2 linked regions of the Drosophila melanogaster genome follow. Changing the gene in region 1 together with any one later gene gives a genetic interaction. Each region holds a gene or a part of one and is shown in the gene's direction. Other genes may lie near its edges.

What was found. A genetic interaction does not mean that the proteins touch.
Region 2: of jing (region 1) and slbo, changing one suppresses a phenotype caused by changing the other (phenotypic suppression), as found in Drosophila melanogaster (one study listed by BioGRID).

The regions. Positions count from the first base shown.
Region 1 is NT_033778.4:6,498,988-6,506,573, forward strand, and holds the start of jing (jing), read left to right. Parts: upstream 1-3,018; 5' UTR 3,019-4,051; coding exon 4,052-4,701; intron 4,702-7,586.
Region 2 is NT_033778.4:24,329,758-24,337,557, reverse strand, and holds slbo (slow border cells), read left to right. Parts: upstream 1-3,250; 5' UTR 3,251-3,787; coding exon 3,788-5,137; 3' UTR 5,138-6,036; downstream 6,037-7,800. UniProt on the Drosophila melanogaster protein: Required for the expression of gene products mediating border cell migration. Among the DNA sequences that this protein binds with high affinity is a conserved site within the promoter of its gene.

The DNA.
Region 1 (7,586 bases):
TGCGTTTGGGATTGTCGGTGAGACGTAGGAGAAGTACGCGTTGTTGCGCTGAATTGAGAGTCGGCGTTCGTCATGCTCGCGCTGACGCTGGGCGCGAGTGTCATTCTGACTCATAGTTTTATTATTTAAGATAACAATTCACTATGTATTTAAGCGATCTTGCATCGCATAGAGCGTCTCTTTCGCTTTCAGATTTTTTATTTAGTTTATTTTATTTGGCGTTCACTTCACTCAAAACAACCGATTTTGTGCGGAGCACGATAAAAACGTCTTCACACGTCGGCGATCGAATTGTATTTTGATTCCTTTTTATTATTTCATCGTTACTTTTCCTCCTTCATATTCTTCGCTTAGTTCTATACTTATTTCATATTTCTTATTTATATTTATATTTAATTTAGTATACGTTAATTATATATTTCTTATATTTCATATTTCTTATTTATATTCATATTTACTTTAGTATACGTTAATTATATTTTTCCTTCCTCATATTTCTAATATATATTAATATATATTCTTATTCTTAATATATATTAACATATATTCTTATTCTTAATATATATTAATATATATTCTTATTCTTAATAATATTAATCATAAATATTATTCGGTCACTGTTACCGCTAATAAAAATTGATCCCAATATCAATTTTCTTTTTTTTTATTAAATAATAATGTAAAGGAATCCATAAGTACAATTTCCCCTTCACTATTCACAGATTTTTACATCCTTGCCCACGCATTTCCGAGAAGAATCTAAATTGGCTTTTTTAACAATAACCTTTAAAAAAAATGAAACATTTCTTGAAAGTCTTTGATTTAAAATAAAAAGGTAAAAAATACACCCTGAGACATAAAAAGTATATAAAGAAATATGTTGTTATGCTTTAAAAAGTTTCTCCACATTTTATGGTGAGCACATAGTGTTAAACGATATGGAAAAATAAATTAAGATCAATAAATTAAAAATGAAAAATATGTAATCAAATTTTTCTTTTTCTTGTTTGATCAATCCATGCAGCTAAACATTTTAAATAAATAAGCTTTTTAAATGCCTTTTCAAACGTGCGGAAAACCTTTTTTAAAGTCGTATTAATACACATTAAATTGGAGTCGAACGGAAAATATTTAGCATGGAGTTGATGTGAAAAATTTATTTAACATAAAGGTTTCTGTCTTCGTTTATGCGTTCGGAAGTTTTAGATATGTGATTATTTATGAGTCTATTTTTTTATCGTAATTAAACTGACTTTGCGTTGGTTAACCAATTTTCCCGTTGATGGTCAAGGAACATCATGCAGTTCGCTATCAATTTTAAACTGGTTTGATTCCTTACTTAGTTTACATGCCCACTTATGTAATTTTGGAATTATCTATAAAAATACTGAAAAGGCATAACTGTTTATTTGGACGTAATCGCTGACAAAAGCTGTATGCTGTGGCAATCTGAGCTTTACACTGAGAGCATTTAAAAGACCCATAATTTTTTTTTAATTGTGATGGGCTCCAGTATAATTGCCAGCTTAGATATTTTATTGAGGAAATGTTTGATTATATTTTATTTTTATATTTAATAATTTAATTTAATATTATCTACACATATGTATATGCATCTACAAAAATATTCAGCGAAGTATGAATGCAGCATTATGGTTGTTTTTCTCTCAATTGTCTCAATCCTATTTTCACTCTCTCTCTCCGTTTGCTGCAGTTTAATAGCTTTCCGGAAAATGCAGCGCAAAATGCGAACGCAAGCTTATAAACTTATTTAACTTGTCACTCTTACGCAGTGTATTTTTGCATTTACAATGGTTGAGTGAGCTATTTTTTGCAGAGCTTTTGTGAGCTAAAACATTTTGATTGTATTAGATGCATTCCTCGGAAATGAATTCATTCACTTAATTAAAGTGATCCCAAGTATGTGCAGTGTAAAACGTTCAATAGGAACAAACATTTTATTGGTAGAGTAAAACTGGACACCAAACGAGTTTTGTCGCACTCGCACACACCCGCAAAATTCTCGCGTAAACATGTCTTCTTTGTCCCTCCTGTTTTTGCAGTCTCCCTCAGTTGCATCGCACAGACGTACGTACCATTGCTTGTAGCGTAATAAAAGCACGTGTTGTGTTTGATTCCTCGCTCCCTCCCTTTCTTTGGTCTTTAAAAACAGTTGCGACTTTAGATTGTGTTTGTGAGAGAGCTGGTCTGGCTGCCTTGCTGTTTTGTTATTGTTTGGTTTTTGCCATAACTTTGTTTACTTTTATCTTTTTTTATACAAGACTCGTGTTTTTTTTGTTTTTGTTCTTGACTTTTTTGGCCTTATTAAGTGTGGGCCAAAACAGATACATATAGCCAAGGTATTGGTTATGGGTGCATATTCTCCACACATCTGTATTTAGCTTCAAATTCGAGCTCAAGTTCCCATATAACCATGCTCGCTTGGATGAACCGGTTTTGAGTTTTATCGAACCGCAGGAACCTCTTGTATTCTGATTAGTTCCCACACATATCAACAGGTAGCTGCAGCTTGGGTCGCTTGTGTGTGAGCGAACTTGCCACCGCGGACACATCGGAAGTTGCTGCCCATCTAGCCAGCCGCCAAATGCTGAAATTCAAATACGGAATCTCTGAACTTCCCCAGAAGTTCAAATGCACACACTCACACACACAGAAAGAACTCACATTGTAGCGCAACAAGCTCCCCACGCGACCCTCTCTCTTGGTCCCGCTCTCGAAAACCTGCTGCCGCTGCACAGAAATCAAAAGTGAACACACTGCACGCGGCCCTTTCTTCTCCTCTTCACCCTCAGCTCGTCGGAGAGCCCCTATTAAAACGAACGGCAGTTCGTTGCCTTCGTTCTTGCTTCGCGTGCTTCGTATCTTGATTTGTGCCCGGTTCTAGTTGGCTAAGCCATTCGGCTGGCACTCGGTCCGCCGCCTCGCTTCTCGTCGGCTACCTCTTCGGGTGGGGCCGCAGCGCTCGGTCCACTCCCACTCCACTTGGCCCCACTCGTCAGTCAGTCGGCAGGCAGAGCAAGAGCAGCCCGCAGCTTTTTCGTGGGGAGATCGCAGTTTTTCGCTTGCCAATCGATGGCGTTTCGGAATTCTTAGCTTGCAGTGCAGCGCTTCTTAGACTTTGTTTAATTTGGTTATACTGCAATTGGCGGCTATTAAGAGCAGTGACCACTACATTAATTATGAATGGTACGCGCGGCAGACAAGTTGGCCCCGCGATAAGTAAATCGCTAGTTTGCTGAGGCACATTGGAATGCATTTGATTAGATTGCGATGTGTTTGTTCGCCCGTCATTGTTGTCAATAAACAAAAGCTGGCTCGCAGTCACAGCGACTAGGAGGTTAACCTGACTTACCCGTTTCGGTTTTGAATTCGGTTTCATTGTCGCTTTCTTGAACTTGCGAGCACCGCGTGGCCAATCTTGCAGAATGAATTTCGGGTGTGCACCGGAAACAACCGACAGTGAAATAACTACTGGCCATTCACAAATCCATAAAGCACAGTGTAACACTTTGTAACGGATCGCAAATCCAACCACCCCACGCAAATCAAAACCGAACCCGCGACGTCGATTAATTTTATGATGATCAAGTAGTTTCTCGTTGAAATATCAATCGAATTGAAAAATGTGTGTCATAAGTGCAGAAGTGAAGTGCAGCTTAATGCCAAAAGTCATACAAGTGCAATTGATTTAAATGAATTTTTGTTTAATTTGTATAAATATTTTTACTTCTCGTAACTCGATAGTCCGACCCACGAAAGTCGTAAAATGCAAGTTCATGGCGATATATATATACCAATTTGTGCAAACTGATGGGGAAAATCGGAATGGTAACACCATTTAAGGGCAGTGCGGCTAAAAATTGCTGACGAGCAACTTTCAGATTAATGCAATTCAAATTGGCTTTCCGTCGACTAACAATAAGCCGTTGGGAATAGCAGATGTGTGCTAAAGCAGATCCAGAGTTCTGGCAGCAGTTAACACCAATTAAAAGCGTCGTTATAGCAATAGTGCAGCAAACATAGAGGGAAAATGTCAGTCACTCAGCCAAAGGATACGGCATTAAAGACCAAGGAGTCGGCAGCTGAAGTAGCAGCCCCTCTGGCCCCACTCTCTGTCAAAACAGCAGGAGCAACGGGACGGAAAACTTTAACCTCCAGCGCGGCTTTGTCACTGTTTGATCAGCTGAAAAATAGCGTCAATACAAACAGTTTGACAATTGGCGCCGGCGTCGGCAACAACAGTAGCCCAGAAGCCACACCACCTATAACAGCACCAGCCAGTACAACCACCGCCTCCCCGATACTTACTCCCAAAAGCCCACCACCCACACCACCCATCAACAAAAGCCCGTCTCTGTCCTCCAATATTGAACTGAAGCCCCCGGCCAAACCCGCTCGGCCCTTTACCTCGCCCAGCACTATTGGAATCGTGCAGGGTACCAAACGGGGGGTGGGCGGAGTTTTTGGCGGGTTTGGAGCCCAAGCCGCCAAATTGGATATAAACGCATTGCGATCTCAGCTCTACCAGGGCGCCAGGAAGACTGCAACAACATCTCGAGTGGGAGTCGGCAAAACAACAACGGTGGCAACAGCCCCAAGAACAACTGGAGGAGAACGTGGCACAAAGGGGTCCAAGAAGAGATGTCTAGATCGGTACGACTCGTCGGAGTCATCAGACAGGTGAGTGCATGTCGTGGGCACACTACTGAAGTTTGGCATTTTGCAGCGATAGGGAAGTACGTTGCTCTTCGACAGTTCTAAATTCTAGTCGTAATTTGAGATTTTTTGAGGTTTATTTAAATGCAAAGGCAGGCACGATGGTCGTATCTAATTTATGAAATATATTGAAAACTTAAAATTTTTAAGGAACACAATAAGACTTATTTAACAATAATAAAAAATAAACTTTTTGCATAAACACCTTTAGTATACGCCATAAAGACATTCAATAGCAGCTTACCCCGTCCCCTTTTCATCGACGTATTTAATGGCATCATTAAGCGTCTTAACAATGCAAGCTGCCAAATGTATTTCTTAGATGCACTGCCTAACTATAAAGGGAAATGCAAAAGTGTATCTGCGAACCGGCTGGCTGTGCCAAGTCTGAGCCAAAGAAAATTCTCTAAATATACACGCGCGCTGTACTGCCAAAAAGTGATCCAAAAGTGTGATCCGTAAGACACAAATAGAATGCAGCCCATCCCAATCATGATAAACGTATGAACCAAATCTGCAATGCTCAGCGAGATCTGGAAAAAGCTAATAGCCGATTGAGCTGAATTTATCTGACAGGTAATCGTTCCGATAATTGTACAGAACAGCAAAGTGCCAGTCTTGTAAGGGGCCTACGAGGCACGTGCCTCATAGATTGCAAATTTATGGCTTACAGATACATTTGTATCTACTCAAATGGGCAGCCACAAAACCTCTTGCCGCAATGCCAACTAATTTCCGCTCATTAAAAATGCGCAGCACAGTAGAGGCAGCAGTGGAATGGAAACAAAGGAAGAGCAAAGGCCGCAACGAACTGCAGGCATTTGTATCTGGCAGATACGCACAACATGCGTTCATTTATCAGCCGCAAATGGCGGCTGATGCGCCGCAGTAGCAGAGCTGCTGATTTTCCATGCGGCGCGTGGGCGGTTGAGCAAACGAAAACAGCTTCCTGGCTGCATCGATGTAGATATAGATGCAGATACGAGTCCGAAACCGAAACCACCCCCTCGGGGAAATTAATCTTGAATATGGACGGTGCTCTCTGCCGATCTGCTGCACAATTGTCGATTATGTTTAAGTTATGTTTCGGTTTTCAGAAATGGTTCTGATTCCATACATATCTTCTAAACGCCAATGTGGCATTTGTGTCTGGTTTCGCAGCAGCATGTTTCAAATGTTTTGTGGGGAGCGTTTTGTCAATTGGCTTGGCCTTATCACCGTCCTCGTATCACCTCCCCAAGATCGCGTTCCCTCGTTGACTGGTGAGCGATTTCGGCGTTGCTTCTTTCTCTTCGTTGGCAGTCGGAAATCATTTAAACTTTTGGTCGTTGAACTCCTTTTGATTTATTTATTTTGTTTGTTTCTGTTTCTGTTTTTCTTCCCTTTTTGGTTTTTGTGTGTGTGTACTTTTTTGTCGCCGCCAAAAAGCACTGCATTTTGTTGTAGCTTTGTGTTTGGCTCGGTTTTTATTTCGATTTCGTTACGTTTTGTCCGAATCTTTGCACTGAATCTTTCCAGAGCTGTGCGCCTAAAATTTGAATCTTGTCAAAATGCTGATTTTTTAAACTAAACTCTCTCGTTGGCTGGCTCATTTTAACGTGTTCCTAAACCACAAAAAACAATCCCACTTCCACTGAGCGTAGTCATTAAAATGTATTTATTTTCGAAAAGCAAAACAAAAACCAAAACATGTGCACGTATGCATTTGAGTATAACCAGCGAGTAACATCCGCAGCTTCGAAGCGGAGGCATTTAACTTTAATTGTCGCTCATAAAGCTGAAACACAACTGCAAGAGTAACTGCCTACTTCAGCAACGCAATTGTTGGCTGCTGCAACTGCTGGCGTCGTCTTTGCTTTTTGCAGTGTCGCCGGACTGAGCGAGTGTGTGTGTGTGCTATTGATTTTGTCGACTTTGGTCTTACAGGTTTTCCACGTTTTTCCACATATTTCCACGAGACCCCGAGAGCGACCCACTGCTCCAATGGCGCGAGTCTTTGCCCATGCCTTTGCTTTTGCTTTGCTTTGCTGATTGTGGGCTGTTGCTGGTGCTCTTGCTGTTGCTGTTGCTGTTGCACTTTTCGCCAAGTCATGCAAGGCGGTCAGCGGGTGGCAGGGGACGACAATCACCCTGAGATATTGTGTAATCGCCCACGTTGATTTATCTCGTTTAAGTGACTCCGAAACGGCAGCACTGCAACAGCAACAGCATCAGCAATTGCAGTTGCAATGACAGCGGCAACATCGCGCGATGACATCGAAAGTGTAATATAATAAGTTGCAATTGCCAGTGTGTGTATCTCCGTTTGTTGCCGCGGGTCGTGCACTCAGAGAGGTCGTGCTTCCGATGCTATTTGCCATGTCTTGGCATAACCACTTGCAAGCTCCTTTTTGGCCTTTTATCAATTTGAGCCTGGCAAGTTGTGAGGGTTGTTGTTTTGATGATGGTAAACGCGCTCGATTTCCGAAATATAAACTTATAAAAATATAAGTCGCTTGAAACTACCGCTTAGTGGGCGGTAATCGGGAAAGCAATCTTGATTCATCGTAATACTGACTCTTTCATAGACTGACAAAGAAATGTTCTTTCCAGGAGGTTGACATATGTATAGATACCTTTAGCAGATTTCATAAATATTAAAATAACATCTGTTCCTTACTTTCGCATCGGTAAGGAAATAAACATATAGTCCATGTCTGTTTGAAATTTTTAAATTGAAATTTATGTTCAGTGCCAGTTGCAAATATAAAGTTCGTGTACCAATTCGTTCTTTAAATGTCGGCCATATCCACTGTATTGACGCTAGGAGATTAGGCTGAAGATAAAGTTCGTTGTCTTGCAACTGAAAA
Region 2 (7,800 bases), about 18 Mb from region 1:
GCTTTGAAAATAAGTAGTAAGTTAATATATGCTTAAGTTTTACATAATTTTTAAAATAGATTTTATTGTTATAAATATAATTACACATGGACAACAATGAAACAAAATGATGTTTTAAAATTTGATTAGATTAAAATATAATAATTGAAATATTTGTTATTTTTGGTTGAACTCGATGGCTCGCGCGTTTTATTCTCACGCTCCTATTAATTGGCAAGACTTTTCTAAGCAGCGGGCAGCGAAAAGTTTTCGCCGAAGAGCCGACTTTCATTGCCGAATCGCCTCGCATCAGCACTAAATATTATTAATTTCTGTACTCATCAGCACACGGCGACAGGGAACGGGCTCGTTTTCTGTGGAAGTAGAGTCAGAATTACAGAAGTGAAGCGCAAAAGCACGAGAATCCCCTTTGGAAAAGAGTTTGGGGTCGTCGAACTGGTTGCATTTAAATGGTGTTAAGTACACTGCAATTAGGTGGAAACCACCGGAGTTTTGGCTAACTGGGTTTTGTGAAAAGTATGAACTTATCTGCTGCGATGAGTCAATAAAGAAGCGTACTTATGGAATTAATATCTATTCTATCAGTACAAAATTCACCGCACCAAAACAAAAAAGCTTCCTAGAAAGGTCTTTCCTATAAACAAGGCCGTGAGAATGAAGCGAGTGTGTAACCCAACCCCATCGACTCGAGTTCACTTCGATTGAGCTCGGATTTGAGGAAGTGCAGAGTTAAATTGGCTACGCGTCATCGAGATAAGTTGACTGCGAGTGGCGAATAAAATGAAGACAAAACAAAACACAACGCCGTCTAGAAATCATTGGCCAAAACTCCCAATTATGGCCGTGTTTATAAACACAATTCAGTCGGAGTTTCGCATGTGTCAGACAACTTTTTGCAGAGTGCAACGAACGCCAGTTGTGAATTGTGAATTGTGGCCGCTACTCGTATTTGTTTTGTTTACGAATTCGCGGCTTTTGGCCGTCTTATCAGTCGTTTGCCAAAATATATAAATAAAACTCTTAGGCACTTTGCGCGTGGGCGTTGTCGACGGCAGATAAATACGCCTACAATTTCCCTTTTGGGAAAACGCTGAAATGGATCAAGGTGATAAAGAGCTGCTTATCTGCTAGACTTTCTCCAAGTTTGGTATCAATGGGTAAATATCTATGATTTATGCTAGCATCTCTATGAATACCCTACTCAATTTTAAAAAGTGAAATTACTGGGGGCCAATGGTATTTGCGTTTTTAATCTTATCAGGGCTAACACCTTCTTGTTGGCCAAAGGGCTGGTATTTATAGCCAGTCCACCTACTTGCTAATTTGAAGTGTTTTTTTTTTAAATTTATTTTAAAAAATTTATGCTTTCAAGTTTTTATAAATAGGTAACTTTAGGTAAGCCTTGGACGATTCCAGTTAGCAGGAGGATAAGCAAATAAATAAATGACTTTGCTTTGCTTTAATCCCATTTAACCAGTAGTTTCTCCATAAACAATCTGATAAGATAAGGTGCACATGGATCGATCTTGCCTCATTTAAATTGCAGATTTCATCACCTTTCCCATCGATCGATATGGAATCAGTTCTTGGGTAACCAGACCGCACAATGCAATCCCCCAAGAACAATAAGGGTGCGTTGAATGCGTTTTGAAATACACCCGACCAGAAGAATATCTTTGTGGACGCACAAGGAAGCACTTTTGCACAATCTCGATGCAGTCATCGATATCGGCGATATTTCCGATTCGCTGCAATAGCTTGACTGATAAGCGAAGAAAAGTGGCTGTCCTGTCATCGACAGCGGAATACCCTCTTATCGTGCAACGGCGCACGGGGCGTATGATTAATAAAGTCCGGGTAAACAAAAGGTACATACACGAAGGCAGAAGACGGGGGCGAGAGGCGGGGCCGAAAGCAGGGGACGCACCTTCGGAAAGTAAACGACAACTTGACCCAAATTGCAGACTCGAAAACTCAGGAGAGTCAGCAGAGTGAGCAGAGTTAGCGGAGTGAGCACCAAGCAGAAGAGCGCCAATGGGGGAAAAGTGGAGAAGGCGACTTCACAAATCGCTGCATTTAAATAAACAAAACTACGAGCCGTGCTAATTTTTATGAATTTCATAACACAGTCTTAATTTTAATAAGACGTCGCTGCCTATTACGTGAAAGCTCCGCGATGCGTTGCGCTTCCACTGCGCAGTCACGCATGCGCGCCAAAAACAGGCCCCAATCCCCAAGCCCCCAATCCCCCGATCCACCAAGTAACTGCACTTCTGTGTTTTTTTTTGCTTTTCTGTATTTCTAAGGCGCAAAGCGAGTCGAAGCCCAAACACAAATCGGAGTGGGCAAGGCCCCAAAATGGGGGTCGGGGGTTACGCAGCGGAGTGCCGGTGTGTGCGGGCGTGGTGTTGTTGCTTCTCGCTGCGGCTGTGCGGCTCTTCTCCCAAAAAAAGCAAAAGCGACGGAACCGAAAATGAAAATGAAAACGAAAGCGAGAGCCAAGGAATAATGAGCGCTGGCTGCGCTGCCGACGTCGCGCGCTGCTGGTGTCTGTGCTCGCTTGAGCTTGTGTGGGTGCCTTGGGGCTCCCTTTTGTGTGACGTCACGCGATCGTGCGTTGCATTGAGTTTTATCATGAAATTCACTGCATCAGCGCATAACTAATACTGGATTCTAGGATGGGGTCTTAATTAAACAATTAATATCTAAACTAATATCTAAACTAACTTATGTGGAACATGTATAAATGTAATAAATTCTATATAAAAAATGTAATTATCCTATCAAATATGATATTAAGTTCCGGAAACTGAAGAAGTATCTCCCAGCTTCGTACCAAATGCACTTTGCTTGCATTCGTGCTTTTGGCCCGCACAGCAACCACAAGAATGGCCCAGTGAATTGCCTTGCGACGAGAGTAAAAGTGATTGGGAAAACTCTTGCTTTTTTACCTGATCGCGGCTCTCGCTCTCATCCACAGGTAGTTGCCTTTGCCTTTGCCTGGCTTACTTGTGCTTTGCCTGCTCTTGCTTTGCTTTTGCTCTGCTCGTGCTGTGCTGTGCTGCTGCCGCCTTTGCTTTGCTGTAACGGCGACGGCGACGGCAACGCTTGGGGCTTCGGTGTGGAGCGGTACGAGTGAATGTGTGTGTGTGTGTGTGTTACATGCGCTGGCCGCTCATTTTCTTTTTCTTCGGCTGCGTCGCTGCGCCAAAGACTTTTTCACTTTGCCGCGTTCGCGTTCGCGTTTTGTCACAGTTACAATTTACCACTCGTCGGCGACGGACGCGCGCTCTCCGCTGGCCAAGAAAATCCAAATCGAAGAAAAGCTCGCTCAGCTAACGGTTCTTCAGGAGCGTTTCTAACACCAGCACACGTACGTGTACGAGTACGAGAGTACTAGCCAACGGCAGTCGTCAGGCCGTCTCGTATAAAATCTGTTGCATCACTGCCGCGGCACTTCAGTCGTTCGAACGCGTGCGGCCGGAGAAGTGCAGTGTCGAGTTAACAAAGTAAACAAACTGAATAAAACATTTTGCGCTAAGAATCGGAAACATAATAAGCAATAGTACGATGCTCGGCTGCAGTGACCACCCAGGCAGCCTAAGATGAAGCATACGGAATAGCGAGCTATCCGAGTCGAACATTTCCAAAGACCCACTTCTTACCTCAGTGCAATGCTTTAGGCGCCAAACGAGCAAAAGTTTATTCCCAAATCTGAACTCTAAAAACAGCCAAAATTAACGCTCTACAAGGAATCAAGATTCTACCCTCCTTCGCGCAACTGAAAATGCTGAACATGGAGTCGCCGCAGATGTACGCCGATGCCGTTCAGACATTGGCCCAGCTGGACCTCAAGAAGGAGCCTCCCCTGCAGCAGGCCACCATTGGCCAGATCACACTGACGGCCATGTCCACGGCGCAGCAGCAGCAGCAACAACAGCAGCAGCAACAGCAGCAGCAACAGCAGCAGCAACAACAGCAGCAGCAGCAACCCCAGCAGCAGACTACCGATGCGAACAACAACACGTCGCAGGACGCGGCACTCCTGGTCAAGCAGCACGCCATGCACCAGATGCAACAGGTCGCCGCATTGGGCAGCAACAACAACCTGCTGCAGAAGCAGATGCTGCAGCAGTACTCCACTCAGACGGACCTGGACGAGCTGACCACCCAGGAGATCACGCTCGACCTGCAGCACCTGATAGACGACCAGTTCAGGGACACGGAAACGCTGGGCATCTTCAGCGACATGGTGACCAGTCCGGGCGGACTCTCGGCCACCCTGCCGCCGAGCGGAATGGTCTCGGCGGCGGCGAAGGTCCTGCAGCAGCAGACCCTGCGGAACCAGCACGGCTACGGGGGCAGGGGAGGCGGTGGCGGAGCAGGAGGCGCCCTGGCCTACATGCCGCAGCCCGTGCACGCCACCTACAACAATTCCAGCGACGAGAACAGCTCCGTGGGCTCCGACTCCAGCACGATCAAGGAGGAGCCCATCGACCCCGAGTACAGGCGGCACCTGCAGGAGGCGGCTAGCCAGCAGGCCGCCTTCATGGGCAATGGAGCAGGCCTGTACAACGGCTACGGATCGGGGGCGAATGGCTTGACCGGGGGCGGAAACCCACTCAACGGAGGCAACACCACGCCCAGCAGCAACGGGAGCAACGGCAGCACGGGCAGCAGCAACGGCAGCCAGTTCACCAACCTGACGACGGCCAACGTCCTGGCGCACCACAACCTGCCCCACCTGGCGGCCGCAGCAGGAGCACACAATCTGCTCAAGCAGCACAGCAAGCTGCACGCGCAGCAGCAGCATCAGCAGCACCAGCAACAGCAGCAGCACCGCAAGCACAGCAACAAGCATGTGGACAAGGGCACGGATGAGTACCGCAGGCGGCGGGAGCGGAACAACATAGCGGTGCGCAAGAGCCGGGAGAAGGCTAAGGTGCGCTCCCGCGAGGTGGAGGAGCGCGTGAAGAGCCTGCTCAAGGAGAAGGACGCCCTCATTCGGCAGCTTGGTGAGATGACCAACGAGCTGCAGCTACACAAGCAGATCTACATGCAGCTAATGAACCACGCCAATCCCGAAGTGAGCCGCGTCTGCCGCAGCTTCCTCAACACCAACGAACACTCGCTGTAGCCGCTGCCAGCTAAAGCCAGTGTCCTGCGAGTTCTGTGTGTGCGTGAGTGCTTGAATGCTTGAGTGCTCGTGTGTGTGTGTGTATGAGTGTGTGAGTGCTCCAGCCGTAAGTGTGTGCGTGTGAGCGAGACTCTGCTAAATCAAAGATACAAATGCTGTGTGGGTAGCTCGTAAGGTTCATTCTCCTCCTGCTCCTCATTGTCCTCTCTGGCCGTAGACGATGGAGCGGTCGCGCCAAGTTGGTGGGCCGCTGCATCGCTTGGAGACCAAACTCTTCTGCCGATCGCTGTGGCATTCCTTGTACATTTACTCTGTCCCCATTTCTTGTTATCACTGTAAAGCATATTTTTGTACTTAATTCTAATTCTTAACGACTGTAACATATATATTTCGCACGTTTTTATACATAATCTTATACATTATATCTATCATAAAGTTAAGCCAAAGAAAAATGTTAAAAATATTAATGTAAAAAAGAATAACACGCAGGAACGAAGAACGAAAATACAAACTTCAAAACCTATTAACTATTTATACATCTAATTCAAATGTGTACAGTTCTCGACGGTGTGCGGCTTCGCTCTATGCTTGATGCCACGCCCACTCCCACGCCCAGCCCTGCTTGACACACAACATTAGCAAATCTCTAGTTCGTAAGTCGGAGAATCAAGCATCGCTTTACCTGCACAATCCCCAGAGGAAAGCCTCCCGAAATCAACCAACTTGTAGCGAATTCCACGGGTTCGCTTCCGAGAGCGTAGAAGATATGAATGCTATTAATTGTAAGGCAAACGCAATGTTCTCATTTTAATTTATATATTCGTAAATTAAATATACACAAACAAAGAAAACTGTAAAGCAAATCTAAACAAATTAAATAAAATTTACCTTATACAAAGAATCGGCTTGTCGTGCGTTTTGACTAAAACCCAAATGAATTTCAGATAACTTCTTAATTTCCACAGTTCAACTACCAATCTGCAATTAGCCCTAGCCACAATTTGATGCAAAAGCCCTGCCAAAAAGTGTCTAATTAAATGTCGGCCATACTTGGGCGACAAAACGATACGCTGGGCGAAGACCAGAAAGAGACGCACCACCACCGCATTGGGAGGGCAGGGTCTTTCTTCTGTCCGCCGTCTTCTGTCTTCGCTGTCTTCGCTGTCTTCCGATGGGACAAATACGACAAGGCAATGCATTTCGGGCTGCCAGGCGCGACACTGGGCCAATTGCAGGGAGGAAGGAGGGCGAAGTGGAGGACCCCAGACAATCGCAAGGCGGCCGTGTTGACACAATTTGACAGTAAGACAAACCCGAAACGAAAAGCAAATTTATAAACGACAAAGCGAAAAAGAATTAATGCAACTCGAGAAACCGACAAATTAACGCGCCAGAGAAAGCCCAAACAAAAGCCACAGAGCCACGGAGCCAGAGAGCCAAAAAACGCATGCCGACCTGGGGCAGATAATCACTTACAGACATTTGGGCTCGGGCTAAGCCCTTTTGGTCAAAACTTTCTTTCCATCCGTATCTGTATCTTGGCCAACTGCTGCTGCTGCTGCTGCTGCTGCGTGCGTCCAATTTGTCTAGCTGCATTGTTGAGCACTTTGATTGATGAAAGCTAATTGCGCATGCACTCTGGGCCCAAAAGTGAAATTGCTTCGAACTTGTGGGTGTCGCTCGGTAGCCACAAACCGCAGCCACAACCGAAATCCATCCCAATCCCATTTAAGCCTGACTTTGATAAGGGTTCTAAGCAGCTTACGGAGAAAGTTCGCCCCCTGCAGCGGGATTCCTGCCGAATGCCGAATGCATCTGCGTTTTGGCAAGCGCTCAGAAATTGCCGCACAATTACTGCCCAACTAGGCGCCGCGGCAACGAGGCGTATGAGTTATGAGCGGCGGCAGCGAGAAGTGATAAATTCGCGACTCGCAACTGCAACGGGCAGACGAGGCAGCAAACACACTTCTTTCTGTCTCACCTGTACGCCGCGCTGATAAATGCTAATTGCCGCCATGAAAGAAGGCTGGGACACTTAACGACGGGCAAAGAGATTTATGAAGGAATTAATAAAGATTCTATTAAGTATGACAATAATTAGGATTTTATAAGATTAGCATCAGTTTTTTATTCGCTTACATATCCAAACAGAATATATTGAATCATATGCCAAAGTAACTGGATATCAATGGAATCAACACTAATCACAGATACGATGTTGGGTTACATGATCGAGCTTAAGCTTGGCAGATTGGACCTCCAATCAGCTTCAGCTCCAGCTCCAGATCCCGGTTTCAATCCATCTCGATTCCGTTGTCATCCAATCCATCTTTCACACTCCAGTTCCACTTCGTCCGCTCCGCATTGTTGTGGCTCCAACATCTCGACTTTAGCTGCAGCGACTATAAAAACCATAACGGAAAAAGTGGGTTACTTCACTTTTATTTTCGTGCCGCAAGAAACAGAGAGATAGAGAGAGAGAGAGAGAGAGGGAAGAGTTCGAGGGAAAGAGAGAGGCAGAGACCAACTTTACATCTATTCATCTATCTCTATTTTTCTTTTTAGCACAGATTGAGTAATAGTTAGTTGTTTGGCTTATATCTTAGAGCCGGGCTTCGTTCCCTCTCCTTTGTGCTGCCGTTCGCCTGGCAACGACGATCGTG